Saccharomyces cerevisiae S288C: one gene and its partners. Changing the gene in region 3 together with the main gene of any one other region gives a genetic interaction. Each region holds a gene or a part of one and is shown on either strand. Other genes may lie near its edges.

Evidence for each region.
Region 1: mutations in YIR020C (region 3) and HAL1 together harm fitness more than expected from each alone (negative genetic interaction), as found in Saccharomyces cerevisiae (one large-scale study listed by BioGRID).
Region 2: mutations in YIR020C (region 3) and ECM23 together harm fitness more than expected from each alone (negative genetic interaction), as found in Saccharomyces cerevisiae (one large-scale study listed by BioGRID).

The regions. Positions count from the first base shown.
Region 1 is NC_001148.4:565,213-568,607, forward strand, and holds HAL1 (Hal1p), read right to left. Parts: upstream 1,460-3,395; coding exon 575-1,459; downstream 1-574. Other genes in the region: methylisocitrate lyase ICL2, read right to left, coding at 2,057-3,395. UniProt on the Saccharomyces cerevisiae protein: Involved in salt tolerance.
Region 2 is NC_001148.4:509,176-512,238, reverse strand, and holds ECM23 (Ecm23p), read right to left. Parts: upstream 1,139-3,063; coding exon 575-1,138; downstream 1-574. Other genes in the region: ssDNA endodeoxyribonuclease RAD1, read right to left, coding at 2,240-3,063. UniProt on the Saccharomyces cerevisiae protein: Involved in morphogenesis. May be involved in cell wall organization and biogenesis.
Region 3 is NC_001141.2:393,741-396,617, forward strand, and holds YIR020C (uncharacterized protein), read right to left. Parts: upstream 818-2,877; coding exon 515-817; downstream 1-514.

The DNA.
Region 1 (3,395 bases), on a different chromosome or scaffold from region 3:
CATATACAATATGCGAGCAGACTTTGTCCATTAAGCCAAGTAACAACAAAAGAACCAAAAAAAGGAAAGTATCTCGTCTCTGTTGAGTAATTCTTATATCTTGCAAGATTTAATTCTCACTACTAATACGGAACTCAATCAAAGTGGCTTAATCCCAAGACATGCATTGAATACGGTATCATTGGCTGTTGACAGTTTAAGAAAAGTAGTTGTCACGTTCCTGAGGTTACTGGGGACAAGGGAAAGTAGATACTCGTCTTACGAAATTGGATATAGTTACTCTCTAATGCTCAATCCATGTAAAGCATGAATCATCTCAACAGAAAAATCTGGGAGAGCATATTTGCAACAAAAGAATCCAAATATCAGTATATAATTATATAAGTGAGCTAAGAAGTGAACAAAAGAAAAGGAAGAGGGGAAAAATTTTGGCTGGACTTGTAGAACGATAGAACGAAAGAGTCCAAGGGGGAAGTAATAAAGTTATTGAACGAAACAACAAAAATTCGATGGAGATATTAACAAATGCATAGCAGCGCAGCTAACCGACCCGAAGCTAGTACCAACGAATTTTTCAACTATTCTGTGTTGATTGTCTCCTTTGCAACACCGAGCTCTTCAGTATTCTCAGCTGAAAGTTATTATTGAAATCACGTTGGGGACTTTCATGATCTAGTGGTCTTGGTGAGTAGCATTTAATATTTTGACCATTGAAAGGGCATCTCTCAATTGGAGAAAGGCCACTCTTAGGGATAGGCGTTTTAACAATCTGTTTATGGGATGAATGATATATTTTTGAGGATGGATTCACGATACTGATATGTTTCCCGTCCGCATTATTCGGATATGTAGTGCCTTCTTTCGATAAAATAGATGCCAATCCTGGCGTATGCTTTGTTTCGATGACGGAGCTTACCAATTTTTCACTTCGTATTTTCGATGAGTTCTTATTTTTACATTTGACGTTCAATATTCCGACATACGTCTCTCTTTCTGAAATGTTGGAACTCTGTGGCCTTGGATTTGGTGTTTTTTCACCCGAAAAATTGTTGATAACTGCACTTTTCTTTGAGGTACTACTATTTATATCTTCCTGCTCTTTTGTTCCCCGCTTAAGATGTTTTGGATGGCAAGTTTCAATAAACTGCGGTTTTATTCCTGCTTCTGAAGAGGTGCCCGAGATGTGAACCTCATTTCCACCACTACCAGTATAAGTAAAGTAGTCCGTACCTTCTTTTCCAAAGTCATTTGAGGAATATACCAAAAAAACACCTTCCTTTACTTGAAAGCGATCCACGAATGGGAAAGTATCCCCTTCCGAAGTCACATCTGAGGGAACAAATTTTAAAACATATGAGATGTTGTTTTCATCCACGGCATCATAAAATTTACAGCAATTATTCTCATACATCAAGTTTTTGAGAGTGTAGTCATGCAATCCTAAATCTTTGAAATGCATCTGATCTATTTGTTTCTGTATTTCTCTTTTCTTGAGTTATATAAACGGAATGATTAGTAGTTTGGCAGAATTTATAGCAAGTATTAAATAGTTGAATACCTCAATATTCTCCATAATAAACGCCATATCGTACATAAAGGCTAAAACAAGAATGCCTGATACCGTTCTGCTTTTTGTTTTATCTTTCCCTATATTTTCTTTCCCTTTTGATGCTTTACGTAATTTTTCCCGGCATATGTGAGCTTCCTAATAGACTCTATTTTTATTTTTCCCTTTCAAAGTGCGAGAGAAATACACACAACCAGCCTACGCTTATTTTCACCCATACCGTCATACGCCATATGATATATAATGTGAAACAAACGCGGGGAAGAGCGCGACACGACAGCTTAGCAGGGGCATTCCACGCAACACCTGAAACTTTAAGTAAAACTGTTTCTGCGAGGATATCTTGGCAAAACAAACACTAACTTTCGAACTAAATATAGTGATCGTGGTCATAAATTAATAAAAAGAGGATAAATAGAGATAAAAGAGATATGTGACTAAGTTGCTGGCAATATGTATTATTTATACTTTTATCTTCTTGAAGCGTATTCAAAATTGCGTTTCGGTAAAGCTCTCACCAGATGTACTTAAAGTTTGGGATGAAGCACCGTTTTGGACAACTTTCATTAAGGAATCAACATATTCTGCACCAGACCATAGCTGGTGTGTCATGATATCACAATTAGTCTCCTTTTCCCGTTTTTGCACTTTTTCGACGTATGCTTTCATTCCGTCACTTTGGAAGCTATTGGCTAATTCCCAGAATGATACTCCATCTGAATGCAGACCGGCAAGGGAAACCAGTTGCAACGTGAAGCCTTCTTTTGCCAAGTCCCATACGAAGGATTTTAATGCCTTATCATCAAAGCCGTGAGCGCTCCAATTGAAACTAGGAGATAAGTTATATACTAGCTTGGTAGCTGGAAGTTGTTTATGAATTTTTCTTGAAAATGAGCGTGCCTGCTCCAGGTCAGGAGTTTTCGTTTCCAGCCAAATCATATCAGAATATGGGGCAAACACCAAAGATCTTCTAATAGCTGCTTCAATACAACCGTTAAACATGTAATATCCCTCTTTGGTCCTCGGAGCATCCCAGTCAAATATAATTTTCTTTAGTGGTGTCACTTCTTGAGCTAAAAGTTTCATTTCTCTTAAGCTTAGGTATGCTCTACCCAGCTTGTTTACCATAAGGTCTTCCTTCTTTTCTTTATAGCTTTCAAACTCGCTTGCCGTAAACTGCTTTTCTAAGGCCTCTTCAAATGTAAACAGCTCATTTTCATGGTACCATTCTTTTTCCATGTCAGCAATGGCGGAGTTGGGAATTTTTTTGTCCTCCATCTCAATCAATTTTTCGCTCCAAGGCACCACGTTATCTCTTATTATACCCCTAATGAATTCGTGGTCTCTCGGATCACTGCTTGAACTCAACAGCTTACCATTACAGGAATCTGTTCTTGCAATAACCAAATTTTCTGTCCCCATGATATCCCATTGAAACCTGGTGGAAATCAATCTCATAAGATGTGTTGCTGTGGGCACCAAAACAGCCCCACTTAGATGGCCACACCTTTTGCCTCCCACCATCTGATCTTCAAGATGAATACCAGCAGCCCCTTTCTCCGCAAACAACTTAGCAACTTTCATTACAGTCGTTGGGCCACCGTGACCCATGTCTGCGTCCGCGATAATTGGTTTTAAATAATCAACAGGAGTAGAACCTTTGATGGAGGCCTCCAAGAAAGCCTTTCGATCGTGCAATTGCTGCGCCTTGAATATTCTCTCCACTTGATTCGGCACAGTATCGTATGGATAATCGCCAAAATCCGGCGATACTTCATTTGTAGATCCAACTAATGTGGAAGAACAAGCCCAACCAGATATGTAAGCA
Region 2 (3,063 bases), on a different chromosome or scaffold from region 3:
TAAACCACTTGAAAATAAATCATAAGAATAGCATAAGCACCAGCTCAATTTAGATGTCTGTACAAAAAGTAATATATTTTAGAGATGAGCAGGCAGAACCACACATTAGTGACGATTGTCTTCGACCTTATGTGGAATCTTAAGCTTTAACATATAAGTAAAAATTTTTATTTTCAACAAAAGATTAGAACGAAATGAAATTCCTTAATTGAACCTTCTCTTGGATATCAATCTATTGGCAATCATTCCTAGAGAATATATTATTGAGTGAAAACTGTAGATACGTGCTAAGCGGTAAAGCCCTTATGAACATCGTCACACTATCTCTATATTGAGCCTCCGTAAATTTCGAATCATTTGAAATTCATTTTTCCTGGTAGGAAGATACTTGATAGTGGAGGATAAGTAAAGTAAATTGTGGTTATCATTTATTTGGTGGTAAAGTACCTTTTTTATGTTTTTTTTGAAGATGGAAATTCAGGCATTTTAAAAAAATAGAAAGCTCGAAATATCTCAAAAAACATAAAAATAGAGGAAGAATCCGCTGAATATACCATCTTTACAAACTACTTAACTATTTATTTTTAAATATAAAATTTTTAGTACCATCATCGGAGGATTGTTGCGATCGTATTTTTTTCTCCATTTTTTTCCTATATGCTATGCCACATCGACTACATAGCTCAACATTTCCATTAGGTCCACTTCTCCACTGAGAAGTCCAGGTGTCACCACAAGTGGCGCACTCTTTTGGTTGACCGTTGGGGAGTATAGTTTGTTTCTTCCTACTTTTAGGTCTATATCCTGCTAAAGATTTCTTTCCATTGGATGATATTGGTAGTGATGAAAAAGATGGGGCTGGTAGAATAGAGGGGTTATGCAAAGGCCCACCAAGACGACTTTCTTCCTTCAATTTTGGACTCAGCGCACTATTTAAGCTTTTGATCTTCTGTTCAAGAATATCTGCTCTTTTTAAATCTGGCGTGACACCAGATTTCGGGATACTGGCTACTGAACAGCAATAATTGGGATTAGCGGCAATGAACAGAACCATTTGTACAAAACGATCGAAGTGGAATTTCGTTCTACGACCAGAGCTACTAGCGCCGCTTGTTCCCTGCTCTTTGTTATATAACATAATATGATTTAAAAGTTCTATCACTCAGCACTACAACGCAGTATTTTTATTCTAGATGACCAGTATAGCAAATATTGTTACCCTTGAGATATTGGTAATTTAACCAAATCTCAAGTCATAAATGCCTCCCTTTTAAGTTTACATAGGCAGTGGACAGATTGGTACATCATATTAAAGGAAATAATGAACGCTAAAAAGAATGCCTTTTACTGACACATTCACTTTTAATACGAAAACGGATTTTGTGGTATATGACGTTGAGCACTGCGTGGTTTTCTGTGAATCCGCCGTGCCTAAAATGGACCCTTAATTATTTAACAATAGACCGGCCCGAATAATGTTAACATGAAGGGAAAAGTGCACATAACTGCAAACTACTTTGGTAGGTTGATTATCAGAGCTAAGCCATCCTACAGGTAATGATTTCCAAATTTTTTCTTAAGTAAAAAAGTTCAGAAAATAGAAGAAATATAAAATTTAAAAGGAATTACTGTTTACGAGACACATCGTTCATTCTTGGATAAATATACAAATCTACTTAAGAAAAAGCTTTCCTTATTTGTTGTTTCCTACTTTGTACCATTTGGTTTATTATATATCGTTGTGGAAAAGAAACTTGGTCTCTTGAATCTTAGTCGCAAAAGAAAATTTTTACCCACATAGGTAATGGAAAAGAGACAAAATTATTTCTGGACCTTATTCAAGAGGATGAATTTGAAGCATTTATTAATAATGAATATGATTGTGCGCTTCTAAGAAAAACTCACGGGTAATTTGGCTTAAAATGATTCACTAATGCCACGCTCAGATTCCACCAAATACGGTTAAAAAATCAAAAATAAATGAACTTCATTTGGTCATTTTTACTGCTAAAAAGTGGAAGATGAATTGCGGATGATATGAAAAATTTGAGTGAATAAACTATGAACGCGAAAAAAAGAATATATATGCGGAATAAAATATCAAAGTAAAAGATTCAAAGAGCATGTCTAACTTATAACATATACGGTCGAAGTCACCAAATGAATATTGTTATTTTCACTATAGTTAATCGCATTTTATACTGATGTTTTAACAGGGTTCGTTAAATTAAACAATATTTTACACAGGTGCTTCAGGAACATCATTATGATGATCATGTAAAGCGTTATCATCAGTGGTCTTACCAGGAGATTCAAGATTTTCATCTGTTGACTCTTGTTCTTGTTCTTCTTTTTCTGTTCTCAAGAAGTAGTATATTCTATCCGTCAAATCTTCGTCATTAATAAGTTCATTAATCTCATTCCATGAAAGCTTTTGAAGCTTATTGAAGCTCTTGATCTTTTTGCGGAGATTGAAATAATCAATTTTTGACACTCCAGGAACATTCAACAGTCTCTTGAATTTAGACTCGTTATCACCATCCTTCAGGCCCTTTGCAGTGCTATTAAAATCCGATCTAACTTTATTCGTTCCCAATATAACTGCATTACTAGGGTCAGGTTGCTCACGTCCTAATTTCAACTCTAGGATTATATTTACAGTTTGCAGGGGTGAGGAAGACCATATAATCTTTAAAGTGGGAAACCGCAATACTAATTTGGCTAGTTTTAGCTGAATTTCATCCTGGGATAACTTGCTTGATATAGGATGAACAGTTGATATGTCTTTATTCTTATAATTTCTACGTTCACTAAAAGGTTCTAAAGAAAACGACTGTCCTTCATCAAACTCAATCAATAGTGTCGGATATGCATAGTATTTTAACATTTTTTTACATTGGTTGGCTAATCTGTTATTCTGTAATGACCCAATTAAGTCAGAAATCGATTTTCTTTCGAGACAAATATCAGGAGTTATCACATAATCGCCGACTGTCAACATACAAGGAATAACCCTTATGCCATATCGGTAGAGTAAGCCTGGTAATGAGGCATTAAACTCAC
Region 3 (2,877 bases):
GGGATAATAACTGATGAATAGGGTGCTTTTTATACGTTTATTTTAGGAAGCAAGAGATCCTTTTTATCAATTGGGAACCCTTCAACAATTTGTACTGGTAAGTCTATGAGTTATCCGTTCTTGAACTAGAAGAGAGCGCAGTAACGTAAATGCTTGAACATATTTGTTAAGGTAAATAAAACTGCCCTAATTTTTTATTTAATTCGAACACGGACATTCCTCAGATAAGACAAGTCTAACAGTTAATTCAAAGTAGAAAGAGCTTAATTTCTCCGTAAAAGAACGAAGTATATTGCGATGATGCCTTGAATCCCAATTGGTAACTCTATGACATTTTTGTAAAGGTTACCTCATCAGAAGAGAACGGACCTAAAAAGATGACCCACATTTCTCTAGAAACAATCGTACCCTAATAGTTGCTTTAAATTGCTCAGCGGTCAAGAAAACGTATCATAATGTTATTCTATTCTTGAGCAGGCACTTTTAGGGTTGGGCAATGTCCTCAAAGTAAATATTAGTAAACAAACGAATACCTCCAAATCCATTGAATTGAAAATCCATTCCAAGCTCTGCGCTTCCAATTGTTAATCACACCACCGATAGGCAATAGAAGTTCTGTCCGTGAAGATACCGCAGAATGAGTTGTGCCCGTATTGTTGCACCTAATTACGGAATCCCAAGGTATGCGATGTCCCAGTACGACCGTTAAAAAGACAACATGAATGACTGATCTGTTTAAGAGTATAGGCAGAAATAAAAAAGTTTGTGCAATGCCTGACAAAAAAAAGCTAATTTTTCTTTTAAGAAAGAATGTCATTCTTTTACCGCAAAGTTAATTTCTGCCTACAATCACCTTCTAAACGCTCGGACTGATTGCCTTGAGCAATCAGCAGTTCTTTGAAGCCACTGTCGCAACAAAGAAAAAGAAAAGGGAAGTCCATTCTTAGCCCCAAAGAAAAGGATGACAAAAAAAAGAAAAAAAGTTAACTCGTACCAGTAAAGCCTAATTTTGCAGTGATCGCTAGCCCCAGAGAAGGACTAAAGACAAAAAGGACCCACTCGATAGGAAAATAACGGCCGAAACTCTTTGGGCGACATTTTCTTGTTAAGAAAACAGAAGAAAAAAACCTTAATTTGAACTTTCCAGGCACACCCAAAAAGGATTATGCTTATGTAATGCCACATTCCGAGAAACTGAAAGGCAAAAAAGAAAAAGCCTTTTTTTTCCTGCCGCGAAAGTTTAATTTGCCTACCGGCGTTCCTATTGGAGTCAGGAAAAGATCACTAGGAATTACAGCTGTGAGAACATACTCTGGGGCTGGCGTAGGCACACAATCCGGTATTCCTAAAGTTTTGTGGTACAAAACTCCATACCTAAAACATAAAACAAATCTCACCCGTGGATCCTTTTATTCATAATACCCCGTCCTGCACGCCGTGGAACTGAGTCTAAGTTGACAAGGCTACGAATGAATTTTGGGAAATGCATACGAAGAGGACTGAAAAAGTAGCAGGTTTCATGTGGTGGAAATACCGATTAGCGCATTCACATTCGTGTTAGGGTCCGTTTTCCCGCACAGCTTTCGAAATATGAAACAATGTCCGTCTGCGTCAGCAGCTCAGATAAGGAAAAAAGAGATGGTAAAAAACATTCGAGAAAAACAAGTACTGCAGGTGCATGTCCTCAATGCATGCAAGTGACCGTTTTGGGGTGGTGAGAACCATCACTAATTAAACTTTTCCTATTTTTTGTCTTTACAATATTCATTAGTCTTCATTCGCATTGGGTGTTCTACAGAAATGCTGGGCAAATCTGGAGATGGGTTGATACGCTAGCGTTCCTACTTGTAAGGGAGCAAAGATGTTAGATTTTTCTGTTTTGGAATTTTAGCTTTCTGTCCACCTTAGGTGTATGGCTCGGCTCTCGATGAGAATAGGAAAGTATTCCGCACTAACCGATGGGGGGTTGTTCTTACCGTAAAACCACACTTGAAAGCTATACGTAGTTGGAACCCCAAAACGACGGTATGAAATGAGGGATACATTAGGGGACAAAAAGGACTAGTAATTTCTTTGAAATTTGTAATAATAATTCGAAAAGTTGAGCATCCTTAATCTGACATGGCACACAGATGAAAAGGTGTTGAAAGCACTGTAAAAGAGGTTAAGAAATATCCTCTTTTCAACGAGCTTCATTTTGAGTATAATATGTTTATATTTGTCGCTGGCCCTGAGATGCTCAACTGTAAGTAAAACATCGGATGTGTGGATAAAAAGAACATGGAAAACGAGTGCAGCAACGACTATATTTAAAATAGTATCATTCATAATTCGATAGATGGACTTTTCAGCTACTTGTAAACGGCGAAATTGTGTCTAAGTTGTGAATGAGCTTTTCATTTTCATTTGCGTACCGAAGTGGTAAAACTGACGACCTAAAGTACGATATACGGAATAAAGCAAGTTCTAATACTCTCTGCAGTTTGACCAGTGCTACTTGGCGCTGTTCATTCCAATTAGCCGTAAATTTGTGAAATAGATCCCAAGATAATCTCCGTTTTATTTGCTTCCAAAGAGGTTATCTTTTTAATAGTTGGCATTTTCTAGCTTCTTGGTTGCTATAAGGCATAGTTGAAGTGCAGTGAGAGGAAGAGGGGAACTCACGGAAAGAGACTCCTTATACTTTTGTCAACCGGTGTGTTCCAAAATTCGCTAGTTAAACGTTTTATTAGCAGCGGTCCCATTGAGCCAAAACCCCGCTGAGCGTTGCGACACAATCTGATCATACCACATAATCATTGCAGCGCCTACTTTTTAACTTCTAGCAGCCAAATTGTTATTCAGATTTAGTTGGCGGTACGACTCCTTACAGCAGTA